Caenorhabditis elegans: one gene and its partner. The protein of the gene in region 2 purifies or fractionates together with the protein of the main gene of each other region. This does not show direct contact. Each region holds a gene or a part of one and is shown on either strand. Other genes may lie near its edges.

The links.
Region 1: the proteins of cdc-25.2 (region 2) and vap-2 fractionate together in Caenorhabditis elegans (co-fractionation; one large-scale study listed by BioGRID). This does not show direct contact.

The regions. Positions count from the first base shown.
Region 1 is NC_003284.9:10,787,446-10,794,470, forward strand, and holds vap-2 (SCP domain-containing protein), read right to left. Parts: upstream 5,091-7,025; coding exon 5,066-5,090; intron 4,651-5,065; coding exon 4,520-4,650; intron 4,478-4,519; coding exon 4,372-4,477; intron 4,310-4,371; coding exon 4,152-4,309; intron 3,846-4,151; coding exon 3,739-3,845; intron 3,694-3,738; coding exon 3,549-3,693; intron 3,501-3,548; coding exon 3,409-3,500; intron 3,214-3,408; coding exon 2,998-3,213; intron 2,953-2,997; coding exon 2,724-2,952; intron 2,651-2,723; coding exon 2,540-2,650; intron 2,494-2,539; coding exon 2,408-2,493; intron 2,355-2,407; coding exon 2,237-2,354; downstream 1-2,236. Other genes in the region: ttr-14 (Transthyretin-like family protein), read left to right, coding at 103-250, 303-382, 428-493, 538-634, 681-790, 834-1,056, 1,098-1,253, 1,308-1,579 and 1 more; T05A10.6 (DUF19 domain-containing protein), read right to left, coding at 5,551-5,581, 6,110-6,177, 6,222-6,413, 6,456-6,532, 6,702-6,763.
Region 2 is NC_003283.11:1,574,370-1,582,596, forward strand, and holds the start of cdc-25.2 (M-phase inducer phosphatase cdc-25.2), read left to right. Parts: upstream 1-3,321; 5' UTR 3,322-3,368; coding exon 3,369-3,426; intron 3,427-8,227. UniProt on the Caenorhabditis elegans protein: Required for intestinal cell division following the 16E cell stage of embryogenesis. Regulates intestinal cell divisions and binucleations probably by modulating the activity of the cell cycle regulator wee-1.3 and by activating the cdk-1/cyb-1 complex.

The DNA.
Region 1 (7,025 bases), on a different chromosome or scaffold from region 2:
CAAAATTTCAATTAGTCATCGTCTTGCTCCTCCCTTCTCCCTCACGCTCACTCCTGCAAAGATTCTGAAACAGTGCCATTCGTGCTTTCAACACTTCCCACGATGGCGAAGATTTTCAGCTTTGTGTGGTTTTCTATTTTTATTCCAATTGTATTCTCTTCTCAACAAGCAGTTACTGTAAAAGGAATTGTTAATTGTCGCGGGCATAGACAACCTGGTACATTTGTGCAACTTTACGATGAAGACTCAAGTACGTTTATTCGTTAATTTAAATTTAATTTAAAGTTTGAAAACTTTTCCAGTATTCGACAGTGATGATCTTCTTGGGTCTGTAGTTGCAGATCATAGAGGAGTTTTTTGTGTCAAGGGATCAACCGAAGAGGTTTTTATTTTATTTTTCCTAATAATGGAATTGTGATATTTTCAGTTCACTGCGATCGAGCCATATGTCTTTATTGAACACAACTGTGGTTACGAAGGACTGAATGAAAAGGTAGTTTAGTTATTGAATGATGTACATTTAATGAATGATTTCAGAGAGTTTTCTCAAAAATGATCCCAGCAGAGTACATTACTGAAGGAGCAAAAGCCAAGCATGTGTATCATTTGGGGGATATCGAACTTCTTACAGCAGGTATTCAAGATTTGAAAACTGCAAAAACGTATTTGTTTGTTTTCAGACGCTCCTGTTCAAAAATACGAAAAACGAATCTACATTGAGACAAACATGGAAGAGCGAATCCGTCAGTGCATTCCAATTTATGTGCAGTATAAAGCTTTTTACGAGAAAGTTAGCTTGACCAAAATTACTGAAATTGAAATAGCAAATTCAGACTGTTTTTGAAACGAAAGTTCACGAAACTGTATTGCCAACAGACGAAGAACCAGTGGAAGTAGAAGAGCCTGTAGTTGAGCCAACAGAAGGAGATGAGCAGATGGCATCAAGTTCTGAACACATTACCAAAGATAATGAAGAGCATCATGTTGATCACCAAGAACATCACGAAGTTTCAGATGAAGAAAGAAGAATCGAAGAGGAGCGATTTAGACTTGAAGGTAAAATAAAGAGACTTTTTGTCAGTTATTCTCAATTTCAGAAGAACAAAAAAGGTTGGATGAAATCAGAAGGCTAGAGGAAGAAAGTCTTAGATTGGAAGAAATCCGTCGCATTGAAGAAGAAAAGAAACGCATAGAAGAAATCAGACGTCAAGAAGAAGAGCAACAAAGAATTGAGTTAGAACGTAGAGAAGAAGGTAGGCATCTAAAAATAGACTCAAAATGTTTGATTCAAGTGACTCACAATTCAGAACGTCGATTGGAGTCTGAACGAAGAGCCGAGGAAGAACGAAAGCGGGAAGAAGAAGCAAAACTTCAAGAGCAAAGAAGAAGAGAGCAAGAAGACGAACACAAAAGAAGAATGGAGGAATATCACAGAAGAGAACAGGAACGTCAAGAAGCCCTGAAACGACGAGAGGAGGAAATTAAAAGAAGAGAGGAGGGCGAGAAAACTCGAACTGTCTCATCTTCTGAAAAGGTTGAAAAGAAGGATCCATGTGTGCACTATCCAGTTTTAACACAGGTAATGCATATATTTTATCTGTGACTACATTCTGTATATACTTTTTTAAAGATTAAAAATTAAACAATGGTATGTGATCGCTTAGGTGTGGGCTTTGTCATTTTTCATAGCACTACGTCCGGGTTTTTTCATAACTTCCAAAATGTTACTTAAGCTTGGCAAATAAACGACAAGTTCTGAAAATTTTGAAAATTTTTGCGTGTTGTCTTTTATAAACATTTTAAGGAAACCGTTATATATTTAAAAAGTACTAGTAGCTTAAAAATACAAAAAAAATTGAAAACATTTGAAACAAATAGCGTAAGTGCATCTTTAAACTTTTTGCACTTTTAAAGAAATTTTTATTTTCTAATAGTTCTATTTAAAATTATGCATGATATTTTTCCCAATATTTTAATTTTATTCTTATTGTACATACTTGCAATTTCCTTTCATTTTCAATAGTTCTTTAATTTCAGGGTCAATCGTTCAGCCGATCTATTGAGCTTCGACATGAATACGTGGAGGACCCATGTCTCAAAAAATAAACCATCGTCATTTGTTTAGCATTTACCAATTTCTCTGAACTAACTTGTATTGTTATCAATTATCGCTATCAGATCTTTATTAAGCTTTCAACCCACTAATTTCTTCTATACACTTATACAAATAATAAAATTATTTTGAGATCACACATAAAGAAGTTGTCTTTTCACAATCTGTTCCAATCGGGCAATCATCATCGACTTCGCAAGGATCCCCGATTTCATAGATTTTATTGTTCTTTCTGTTGCCTCTGAAATTTGAAACAATCTTCCCCAAACGTCTCAAACTATCAATCAAACTTACGCTGGCCCATAGTGACAAACCACGTACGACATCTTCGGACAGTTTGCGATTCCACAACCAAGACGGTAAGTACGATCCCAGGCCATCTGAACCTCTACTACTACCTTATCAAATTGACCATTGGTTTGATACCTGAGTGTAATGTCCTATCGCTTTCCCTTTCAAATCCCACAATTCGGGTGTCAGAACGTTATCAATTGGAGTACCGAACTCCTCCAATTCCTGCCACCACTTCTCGACGGCCTTAAACAGTTTTTTGATGGATGATGACAACATTGATAATATTATATTTATGGAAGATCAAAGGAACAGTTACCGTATGTATAAGGCTTCTAGGATCAGGGTTTGAGAAAGAACTCATGTAGAGATTCTGACCCTGATTCGGTCTTTCGTAATGTGCCGAGTGTGCAAAAACGCAATTATTTGCCCAGTTTTGTGCAAACCGTTCCAACATGCAGTCATACTCCATTTTGATCATTTGACTAGCCTTTGGCTGGGAAGTGTTTGTTTCTCCATTCCATTCAAAACCTTTTGCAAGACGAGATCTAAACAGTTGACGTGAAAAGTTAAACTATTTTTTTGTATAATACCTATAAAAATTGTGTTGCTCCAAAGTGAAATTGCGGGTGACATCTGACACAAGGGAGTTATCACATTGGAAACTTCCTCCATCATCCTTTACCATAGAAGGTGCTTGACATAATCCTTCAGGTACTAAACATTTTGATCCTGGATATGTGAAACAGTCTTTATCCTCACAGCAGGGTTTTCCATTTTCGTAAATCATTTCTTTTTCGCATTGGGCTCGAAAATATATGAGTTGAGAATATTTAAAATCAGAGTAAAAACTAGCGGAATTGGAAATGACAAATTAATCTAAAAACTATGTATATGTTCTATTTTCACTGCTAGAATCAATAAAACTGGTGTTTCAAAATTAATGTATTATTGCGCAAGTTATTTTTAAACCGGAAGCTAGAAAATATCACTTATAAACTCACTTTTCGTTATAAAGACAAGTGAAAAGTGCAGATTCACCGTCGCCGCACATAATATACGAGCATCCAACTCGATATGTTTTTCCTTTTGCCATCTGAAATTTTCACAACTTCATTAATAGGTCTATATCAAATACACTCACGTTTGCCCATCCAAAATAATTTCGTCTGGCATAGAATCTATTTTTCTGATCCTCATTGCCTTTTTCTTCACCTTGCTGCCACCAATACTTCATCGCGTTTCGCATATGTACAGTAGAGTCGTGCCCATCAAAATAAAAATAGAAACTGAAAACAAACAAATAATGTTTTGACTATGTGAAAACTAGTCACCGCTTAAAAAGCTGAGCGTTGGAGCCAAGTACCGATTGCGGCATAAAGTGCTGAGGGCAGGAGGTTGACCAATTGGCTGCAAGTGATGCCAGTTCACAATCCCAATCCTAAAATTGTATGTTTGATGACAAGTTAAACTTGAAAAGATATTTCTAGTATTAAGGTGGTTGTTTGTTTTTAGAAAAGTATCTGATAGGTTAGTAGAATATCTCAAATGTCAGATTGCTAATATGTTCAATGGCTGTGAACAATAAGTTGATCAACTTTTTTGAAAATGTTGGTATTGGAATCAATAATTAGTTTGAAACTTCAAAAAGACTCTATTGTTTGAAGCATTTAATCACACTTAAGTAATTAACAATATAATATCCCGTTCTAATATTCTCAATGTTATCTCAAAAGTACAAACTAACCAGTTTATACATATTTCTCGCACCGTTCATGAGACCTCTCTTGTTTCTTTGCTTTCCGAAAGCCAATGATCTTCGTAATTCATTGTGGGTTGTCAAGATGATCTCCTGCTGTAGCTGAGTGATCGTTGATTTGTTACACACATGTTCGGTTAGCAGTTCTAAAACGAACACATACACGGTCAATGAGATAAAAGGAACAAGGCATTGAAAATCAACAAACCATCATCAAGACCACCAAGTGCTTCTACAACCTTGTCGTCTACATCGTTCCACACGTTCTGCTCAAGAAGCTCATCATTTCCTCCACTGCCTTCTATATTCACAGTCTAAAAAATTTCAATTAAAAAATTGAGCCAATGAAAACATACCTGCGCATATCGAAAAATAAGAAAAAGAGTGACAGCGGAAAGGACCACGTTCATAATAGTCATCAGCAAGCAAAGAGCATGACGGGTACCTTGTATTTGAATCCACAAATTCGATGCGGGAGGCGCCGCGGCTGAAATTTATTTATGAAGACCGAAGTCGAGACTAAGCTCCGCCCCTCAAAGTTACCAGTTTATTACGTACTCTCCAGAAAAAAGAGAGAGGAAAAAGAAAGTGTCTACGAATTATTGATGCGACTTTCAAACTGTAAAAGTTGAAATAGAAGGGCAAACACAAAACACTGAAAGCGAAAGTTTCGAAAAGTTTTGAACACAGTGATATAATGAATTGAAAATTTGGAACAAAATAAGGAGAAAGTTCAAAAGTCAAACGAATCAAGCTTGCCTACCACTGATACAACAACTATACTATATATCAAATTGTACACCGTTACTGTAATAATTTATTGGTTTTGATAGGTTTGTCCTTTGTTCTGAAAGGGCGTCGCTCCTCTCTGGAATTTTATGCTAATTCGTTCAAAACAGTACCTGAAGTAGAAGTTGCAGAGGTCATGAGTGTGAGAAACCGCAAAAGTGAAACCTAAAAATTGGTGTCGGCATATAATAATACACACGGTAGTTTCCTCCCTTTATGAAGCGCTTTATATGTTTGTTATGTTTCTTTTTTTCCCCATTCACGTCTTCTGCCACAATAAACCCCTTCTCACTATTTTATTATCTGTCAATGCCATGCAAATTTGGGGTTGCGACGTTGACAGGAATCGTCTGGTTGCTGTCAAGAAAAGACTGTGGGGATGCGGTTGTCAAGAGGAAGTTGAAATCGAAATGTTTTGTTTTCGCTTTTACTCGTGATTTCGATCAGATCATCAATTTCGGTTTCCAGGTGACAGAGTGTTCTGGAACCCAAATAAGTTTGATTTGATAAGTGTTCTTTATTTGAATTGATTCCAATATGAGTTTAATTTAATCAAGGTCATGCGAAAAGTTAAATCAAGAAATTTGTGGTGCAATATTTATGGAAGTGGAGGTACAGTGGACGAGTGGCTGAAAATTGAAATTTTGTATATCAGAATTTTTTAAAGGTTTTTGTAATAACATGTTTAATACATTTCTAATAAGGTCAAAAATATTACACTGCTAAACGACACCGATTTTATTCAAAAGATTATGAGACTATGTATTTCTCCAAAAAATTTAGCCATTCGTCGTCATAAAAGCCTTTATAAACGAAAACTAAAATTTATTCAGTGTATATTTTTTCTACTCGAGAACCCTAAAAAATTTTATATAAGTAAGTTTTCACAAAAAAAAATGTTTTTACGGGTTTTGAGCGCACCGTAAGATTTTTGGAATTCCTTTGGATATTGCCTTTTGGAAACAGTCTAACGTTTTTAACATAACCCATATATTTTTTGAAACTTGTAACAATCTATCACAGTCTAGCACTTTCTCTAGTTATACGGTTTTTCGTTTACTAGTCTTTTAGTTTTATTAGTTTTTGTAATTCTGAGACCCGTGTTCAAAGTGTTGAGTTTCACATTTAAATCTACATTTTTGACTTTATATGTTTACCTGAAGAGACAAAGAATGTCGAGTCTACTTTGACACTGCGCATAAGAGCATCCAATCGATTCAGTAATCTATAAATAACAGTTTGGACGGGTTATAAACATTTTGTTAGTACTTGTGACTTGCTATTCGAATTGCTGGATGCAAGTTGAAGAGCTGTTTGAAATTGTTGAATAGTTGCTTCTGGTGTTGTACTACCAGTCACTGGGAAACTTAGTTTCAATGTTCCATTAGTGACACCACCGTTATCCAACAAACACTCTTTGATCACTGCCTGAGCCTTACTCTCCAAAGTGCAATCCCATGTCTATAAATGAAAATAAAACTGAAGATTTATGTTCCAAAAAACCTTTCCACTAGCAACTGTCTTGTCAAATACGTTACGAGTAGCCACGGACATTCCATTTGGGCACGTAGTACTAGCAGCTGTAACGAAATCAGATGGAGTAAAGATCAAATTTAGTTACAAAAGGAGAAGAAAGCTTAATGATTTCCTTATCAACCAGAACACAGACATAATTTACCATAGTTTTACGGAGAAAACGGAAAATTGGGAAAAGGAAAGGAATAAAAAGTTTATGCGACATAAATTTACCATCACGTTTCACTCGTTGTCTTTCGAGAAAATAGTTATCGTCAGCAATGTGGATTTGGCTTCTGAAATTAAAACGTTCTAATAAACTTCAATTCTTACTTATAATATAATATATTCAAAACTGTGTAATAAAAAAATATGTTTGTTCTAAAAAAATGTGCAATAAAATTTTAACACCAAAGAAAACAGTTATAACAAAACAGTCTGGTTTTCCTTTATGAATGTGCTATCTAGTAAACAATATGTTGGTTAAAATTTTTTTTATTTCTTCAATTTAAGCACATGAAGTCAAATATTTTTGTTTTAAAATTAAACTGGCAAATT
Region 2 (8,227 bases):
CTGCTCAAATTCTTATTTAATTTTTATTTAACTTTTTTTTCAAAAATTAGACGTTTCTCTTACATCTTCACTGTACCATATCATTTTAATCCGTAACTTTCCTACCTGTCAGTTTTTTTTTTAAATTAGACGGCTTATGACTCAGTTGTTGTTCCGTTTAACACAATAAAATTAACTTGCAATACTTCTTAATAAAGTTACAATGCATAATTGTGAATATCTTCCAGCCCACGTTCACAATGCTCAGTAACGGTTGTTATTATAGTCATTAAGTGTAATTTATGTAATCCTATGGGATTCTAGAACATGGCAGATTTACAGTATAATGTTTATTAACCAAACATGTGTTCAGATACATTACTGACAAGTAGGGATTAGAACTCATACTCATGGATGAAGACATCATAGGTCACTCGATATGCTTTTCCAGTTACGCAAGTCAGTTGCATCAGACACAAACTCACTTGCTAAGAGGTTTATGATCGTTTGCCAGCGCGGTCAAGACTGATGATCCGCTGAGTAGATAGTAATTTATTTGGTTGGTAACGAGAGTTGAGGAAATTTTGAATTTGCAAAGCCACTAACATTAAAACATCTGGTAGGTGTCATTTGGTCCCTTTTCTGCTAGTGTAATAACGTTTACAACTGGCTCTTCATTCACAAGTCGACGACTCCTATTTATCACCTATTCTCACTCCATAGCTTTTGAATAGGTTTCAATATTTGTAACTTTTCATATTTTCCAAAGACAAAAAATGTTTATTTGCCAAAGCCCTTGACTTTTCTCGTCTTGTAATACTTGCCGGTAGCTCCTTTTTATGTACACAGGTACGTCGAAAAAGACCATCCAATTAGGTATTAGATATCCTGCAGCACATACCCGAAAAGGCCTGTGGAACAGTAGGGCAGCAGGAACGGTATTTGAATGCCTTTTTCACGGTATGAATAAGGTGTATAGAAAAGGGGGTGGCTCTAATTATATGCGCGTATTATATTTGAATTCCGTAAGAAGACGAGAGGGTGGCAATAACCTTTTTGACGGGAGAAACAATAGGAGATATTTGAACGGGAGAGGTGGAAGATGCACACGGGTGGAAGCTAGGTGCAATAGTAAAGGGTGCCTTCGAGCCTGCCTACACATGCCTATTTTGTTTTTGGACTAAAAAATTAAATAATTAACTGTGGAAGTAAGTTGGAGTTTTTGAATTTTGTATTTTGTATTTTGTATTTCAAGAACAATGTGTTCTACTACAAAGCCGTATTTCATTCCAGGATTCAAAATGAAAATCCAGCCTAACAGCTTCCTCTACATCCCACCCATAACTCATAAGCACCTGCCACCCGTTGGCCCAAATTCCGGAGCACCCATCATCGCGCACATGTTTTGTAATGCTTGTGGTCCGTCTCTCTCTCTGCTTCCACACGGAATATTCAAATATCCTCCCCCTCCCTAGTCCCAATGGAGCTCCTTTACTGTGCTCCTCACTGCGCGCAGACTGGCTGTCAGCTGTCATCTGATGTCTGCGTCTCGCTGATCCTCACGCTATTTTGAGCTTCTTATGATATATTGCATAACTAAGAACGATGGCGGTAAGGAGACAGGAAATGAGGCATTTTGTATTCTTTTCGAGGAGGCTGGCTCTAATTTGAACATGCACAGACGAACGGAACATGCAGAACTGAACATAAGGAGGGTTGTGATCTTCAGCTAATATGTCTGATTTATGAGCTGACACTTCATTCTAGTTACTGATGAACCCGTAGAGACCCGCAAAAAAGGAAAGCTTATTGATTCAAAATTCAGCTTCCCATAATAAATTCCCATACAGCACGGTTCTTTTCAAAACCAGAACCATCTGCTGGTTTTGAACGGAACCGAAGCTGTCTTGGGCACCGCCAAGCACCCCGTCAGAAATGAGAAATTTCGGCGAGAGATTTGGAGAATTAGATAGGCACACACACTCGGGGAGGGGCGCCCACAGCTTTGACCTAGTGGCATTGAAAAATTGCCAGCGAGGGAAGAATCGGTGGCCGATTCGTCTTCTAGTTAGCCATGCCTTTTACCTACCATTTTATGATTTTATTCTATTCGGAACTTGGGGGCTAGGCACCTAAATCCGTTTGACAAGACAAGGGTCAAGTTTGCCGAACATTTCTCTTAGGGGTCCGCGCAATATTTGTTTGACTATAGGTATGCAAGTTTTTTTTCTGATTGCCCAATGTTTGTACAAGCTTTTTAGATAAAAACTGTCTCACTCCAGTTATATCACAAACTTTATTTTAATTTTCAATCTAACTTTTCAAAGTGACTAGAAAGGTCCTGATCCAGACAAGTGGTCCAGAGGTTTGATTATATTATATAAAACTCGAACCATTCGCATAGAGTGAGGTCAAAAATTGTTGCGCAAAAGTTGCGTCGTTATAAAATTGCGCCATCGCCCTCCAAACAGGCGGTCTTTTGAATATGAAGCTCGTCGAGAAACCCGAGTTGCGCTGGGCTGAATGTGCAGATACGCAACATAATCCTCGTGAGGAATCCAGCCGAGCTTTTGCATCATAAAGGAAAACAGCTGCTTTTGTATTCCATATTTCATGAGGGGGTCTTAGATGTTACGTGGAAGAGGAAGCATCTAATTAAAAAATTGAGTATTGTACATAATTATTTCTGGCACCTAGGCGATTTTGAACAAGTTAGAATTTGAAACTGTGAAAATTGGTGTCAAGTGAATGATAAAAATTTGATTGCAATTAAAAATTTGAAATTAAAAATTGAATTTTGGAGTGGTTTAAAAATTGCAGATTAATGCATTTTAATTATTTTTGATGAAGTTACTTTTGAAATGAAATGAAAGAGAAAATGAAATGAAAAAAAAGCTTTTCGCTTGTCCGCCGCTTTTTGTCAACCCGTACCGATTGTAAATCACTCATCATACAATTCCATCTCCAAAACTTAGTGATCCTTGACAAAACTGGTCCGAGTTCTCTCCTCCACCCTTCCATTTCTCGTTCTTTATTTGAAAACCCCCTCTCTATCTTGCACTCAGGTCCCTCTCAAATCCGCTCTCTTCTCTCTTCAATCTTCATGCTCTTTTTCCCCCGTTCTATAAGGGGTCATGATGGTGCAACCGGGTCGGACCACCTCCATCCGACCTCCCGCCTCCCACCACCCGACTCCCTCAAGCATTATTACCTCATACTCGGGGCGGCACAACCACCTTTTTCCCTGTTTTTTTTTGAAACCTTTTTCTGTGTTTTCAAATATTCTTTGAAATTTATAGATATTTTGATTTTAAAAATTTTTTAAAAATTTAATATTTTCAGAAAACTCCAAACACGTGGGCACAGTCATTTAATCTAGAGTATTTATTATGAATAGGCCTTCACAAATATCACAAGATGTAGCACAACCGCTTTCTAATCAGCATGGTGAGTTGAATTTTTATTTTCAATAAGGTGTATTCATTTTAGAATCGTAAAATTGACAGACTACATCTTGATTTTGTTTTCAATTTTATCTAGAACAAATACCAACTAGTATATATAGTTGTAGTTGAACATCTATTGACTTTTTTTTCAAAAATAGATCCAGTGAAGAGGGTGAACATAGAAACAAAGTCGTTTAGGGACCTATATTATTATTGCCAAAATGTTATAGATGGAGTATGGCCAGTGGGGAAAGTGCTAAAAACTACTACTATGGTGTCAAAATGACCGAATATCAGAATAAAACTTTTCAAAAAACTTTTTGAAATTTTTTATTTATTGTCAAAAATGACAATTACCCAGGTTTTTCCACTTATGAATAATAATGGAAATCGTCCAAAAAAAATTTTTTCCTACATTTTTATACTGTAATTTTGTTTTAATTAATTGTATTAAAACATTGTAGGGACTCATATTTTTCAATTTTTTTGGCATTTTGCCAAAACTTTGATCGTAAATTTCGAAAAATCTAAAAATTTTTAGAGTGTTTAATTATGATATTTGGTTGTTTTGGATCATTATAAGTGTATTTAGACAAAATTCTCACAGGCGCTACTCCACCTTTCATCTAGAAAAAAAAAGTTGATTAGCATAGTTGTAGTTGCAGTTGAACTGTTCTTTATTTATTTTTTTTTTTTTGAAAAATCGAACCTTTGAAATAAAAATCATGTGGGTGCAAATTGGAAAAAAACATAGCAAAAAATGTTATTTCGGGTTCTTTTCTCTCTAAATTTTTATTGCCAAAAAACTAATTCATATTTAAATTCAACGCAATTACAGTTTTTATTTCTGTACTTACTATCTGACACGAAAACTTTTGGAACAAATTATTGTACTCAAACAATATCTAATAACCCTAGACCATGTGTATGTCCTCTCTAGGAATTCAAATCATTATTAGCCTCGGTTCTCCTATGGAGGCTGATTGCGCATATTTCACGCAACATATCATTGCGTAGTGCCTGTGAGGGGGTCCTATTGTATTTCGCTATCTCGAGAGAGTACTCTCGTTTGCCCTCCTTATGCTTGGGCACTACTGAACATTTGGTGCCATAAGGGGTTTACTACTATACATACGGAAAAATTGACAAATTTCCTTTCAATTCAAACGATAGCCTAGCAGCAGCAGCAGCGGCTAGCTGCAAGACTCGGCAAATTTTACTAGTAGTAGTTCACGGCCTTGGATGCGGGTGTCAGATAAGCGGAAGTCGCTCACTCCCCTTTGCTGGTATCATCCATCAGGTAGCAGTATAAAGGAGGCTGTAAAACTAAACCCACCGAAAGAAGGTTTTGACCACTATAAAATAAATTGAGCGGGGTCAGGGTCTCTTAATTATATTTGAAAACGTTCGAATTTGATGAGATCTCATGAGAGGAGAGTTTTATTGAAAACGTTTGAAACAGATAAATGTGCAATGAATTTTTTAGAGTTAATAAAAATAGCTGAATTTGAGAAAAAAAAAATTAAATTTGAACTATTTTGAACAATACAAAAATAGTTGTTATTTATGGAAAAGCGCGCCCACAAAACAGCGGCAAACGCACAGAACTGCTTATTTCAACATTATAGTTCAACTTTTTTCATCCAAACTTGATATAGAAATGTAGAAAAAAAATTGATCTATCTGAAAATATTCCTTATGTCTGTTGAAAAACCTTAAAAATCTTCAAATAGTGCCTAAAAGTTCCTAAAACTTTAAACGGAATTTTTTGGCAAACCGCAACTTTTAGGCACTATTTGAGGCCTTTTTGAAGCTTTTCAACAGAAAAAAAATTATTTTTAAACGGAACAATCCTTCTTCTACATTTCTATATCAATTTTCAATAAAAAAAGTTGGATTATCTAAAAAAAAGTCGCAAAAAAGAGAAATTTGGATTTGAGTCTACTGAAACATTACACGAAAATTTCTAAATATATCGAATTTCAAGTACTCCAACCCAGCCAGCAATAAATTCCCTGAACTCTTTTTTTAATGATTTTCCAAATTCTTATGAGAAACTTACGACTTTATTGCTCGCCTCTTCGCAATTTTACAGTTTACGATTTTTATTCACACCACACCACACAAAACATTTGAAACTAGTACCACACCTCTCCTCCGGCACTAATCAAAATTTCCAATCTGACCTCTTTTTGAAAAGGGAGGCCCAAAGTTTGTTCAAGTAAGGTGAGAAAATGGTAATAGACGGGGGGGGGGCAAGCAGATAAGTATCGTTAGGCCTAAGTTGACAAATTGGCATGTCGAGCAACCTGGTACCAAGGTTTTCGATAGGATCTCCCTTTTCGGTGTTCCCTTTTTTACGAATTTTAGTGCCTTCAAATTTCAAATTTATGTTTTGTTTATTTTGTCCCCCACCTAACTTTGTTGCCCTTGATTCTCAAAGATAGCGGCTTCTGCATAATATAAACATATCTGTTCGATGTCTGACACCACCAATCGTACTTTTAATATAAACATTTTTGAATGTAGGTTAAAGTGATGACTGATCATGGAGGAAGAGAAAATCTTATATTACGCTAGACGGGGTCCGATTTCCTCGGGTCAACTTTCTTCGTTACTTTTTGACATTAGCTACTGTAGAATCTGTAGAGTCACACCTGTCCTCTCCTCTCGAGATTTTTTTTTATTTCAATTTCAATTTACAACAAAAACACAAAAAAGACCTCTAGAAAAAATGGCCTCCACCCGTGGCCAGGTGTCCTTCTCTCGGCCGTTTTTTTCTCGCTTCACCCCCTTATGAATACAAGATTCAAATTCCGTTAGACCCGTCGAGAGGGAGGAAACACACACTAATGTATAGGTATTGATGGTCCGAATTTCCTAGCGAGCCTGCCACCTGGCGCACTCTTTTCATAGTGAACACGACAGCCGGCTCTCGTTATGTCGGGTTACGTTTGAATGGGAACACGCGCATTAGGTACCATATATAGAGGCTTCATTGATTAGATTTGAAAAATACCAAAATTGTTTTTATTTATTTTTGGAACGAAAAAAAAAATAAAATTTTAAAAATGAAATGTTTTTTTCTAAAATTTAGCAAGGCAGATTTTATAATTTAATCCAGATTTTTTTTGATTTTTTTTGAGAAACAATTTTATAAAAACGCTTATGAGTTTTTTATAAATCAGCAAAAACTGAACATTTTTAAGTTTTTGATTTTTAGAAGCATATGGTTATGATAGTTTTTTTTTTAATTTCAGCAGTTTGAACTTATAAAATCAATTGATATAAATATTTCAAAAATTGAAACATTTTAAAAATTTTTAAAAATCGACTTCCAAGATCATGAACAGCAACTCATAAATACTGCCACTTAATAAAAAAAATTCGGTTATTTCAAAAGTTATTATACAATAATTTCAATTCCCCCCAAAAACCCCAAGGTCGAAACTCAATTTCCCACATTGCCCTACAGTAACTTATCGCTATCACATTAAAAATTTGAAAATCATATGGGAATATGGCTTTTTCCTCTAGTTTTACACAAAAAGCATCCGCGGGGTGGGTTACGACCGGACGAGTTACGCAACACTGACCGAGGAGGGTTACAAAAAAGTTTTCTTTATGCCAATCTACATATCTCTAGTTATCTTTTCCAATGTTTCTGTGAGATTGTCCAGTACACAGATTTTTTGATACTCTCATTGCGGTTTTTGGGCAATATTTGCTTTTTCCAGCTGTGTTAGATTCGGTGACAAACAATGGTTTTTGACACTGGGAAACACGGGCTCACACAAATCTGAGTTAGGAAAATGTTCTCATATAATTTCTAAAAATGCACTAGAAATTTTAAATAAAACATCATAAAGCCATTAGAAAGAGCAAGAAAATATTTTGGGATTTTTTTTCAAAATTTAATCATTCAAAACATATTTGAAAGTCTAGACACCGCTCATTTCTTGGTTTCTTTGCTTTTTTCGATTTGGTTTTATTTAATTAACGTAGAATTTTGTGCGTATGTTCTATCACTTCCAACATACTTCTGGGAACGCCTTTTTGAACATACTTTCCGGGAATTCCTTCATTTTTGAAAGATTGAAATCTAGTAATCCTTTGCCAGAACCTGACGTAGCACACTTGGATTTTCGTGCGGCGCTCATCATAAAAATCTTAATCTCTTTTCCCAAGGAGCACGTTTGAGTTCATGAGAGAAGAGCCATAAAATTGCACACAATTACTGCTCTTTTTGGATGAAACTGTAATTGTAGCTATTAGGAATATGTTATAGGATTTTGCAAGAGACATAAGAAGTGTGTGAATCGAAAGTTGTAGAATTATTATTTGCAATTTAATAACTGTTTGTATTTTGTGTTGAATTTACTACTGTAACAGTTCATACATTTTTTGTATTTTGCTTTCTTAAAAAAATGGAAAACTGGTAAAAAATTATTTTCTATACAATGTTTTTCAAAAAAAAAATCGAAAAAAAAACTGTAAAAGTAGAGCAAATAGCTAGCTTTTCCGGCATTATCCCCGAGGAGAAATTGATTTGACAAGAATTTGGACCTGGGAAAATTGATCGTAAATATGGTAAATTGAAAGGTCTTAATCCCTTCTCAAAATCAATTTTTTCAACAGCTATAAATTTTAAAACCAAGTTTAACGAACTGTTTTCACCAAAAATTTTTCCTAGAAGGTGTATTTATCTTTCTAATATCAGTCATTCTGCTATCAAATCACCGAAATTTCTGATTTCTGACATTTTCTGCCATTTCCCGTGTTTCGAGACAAAAAACGACCTG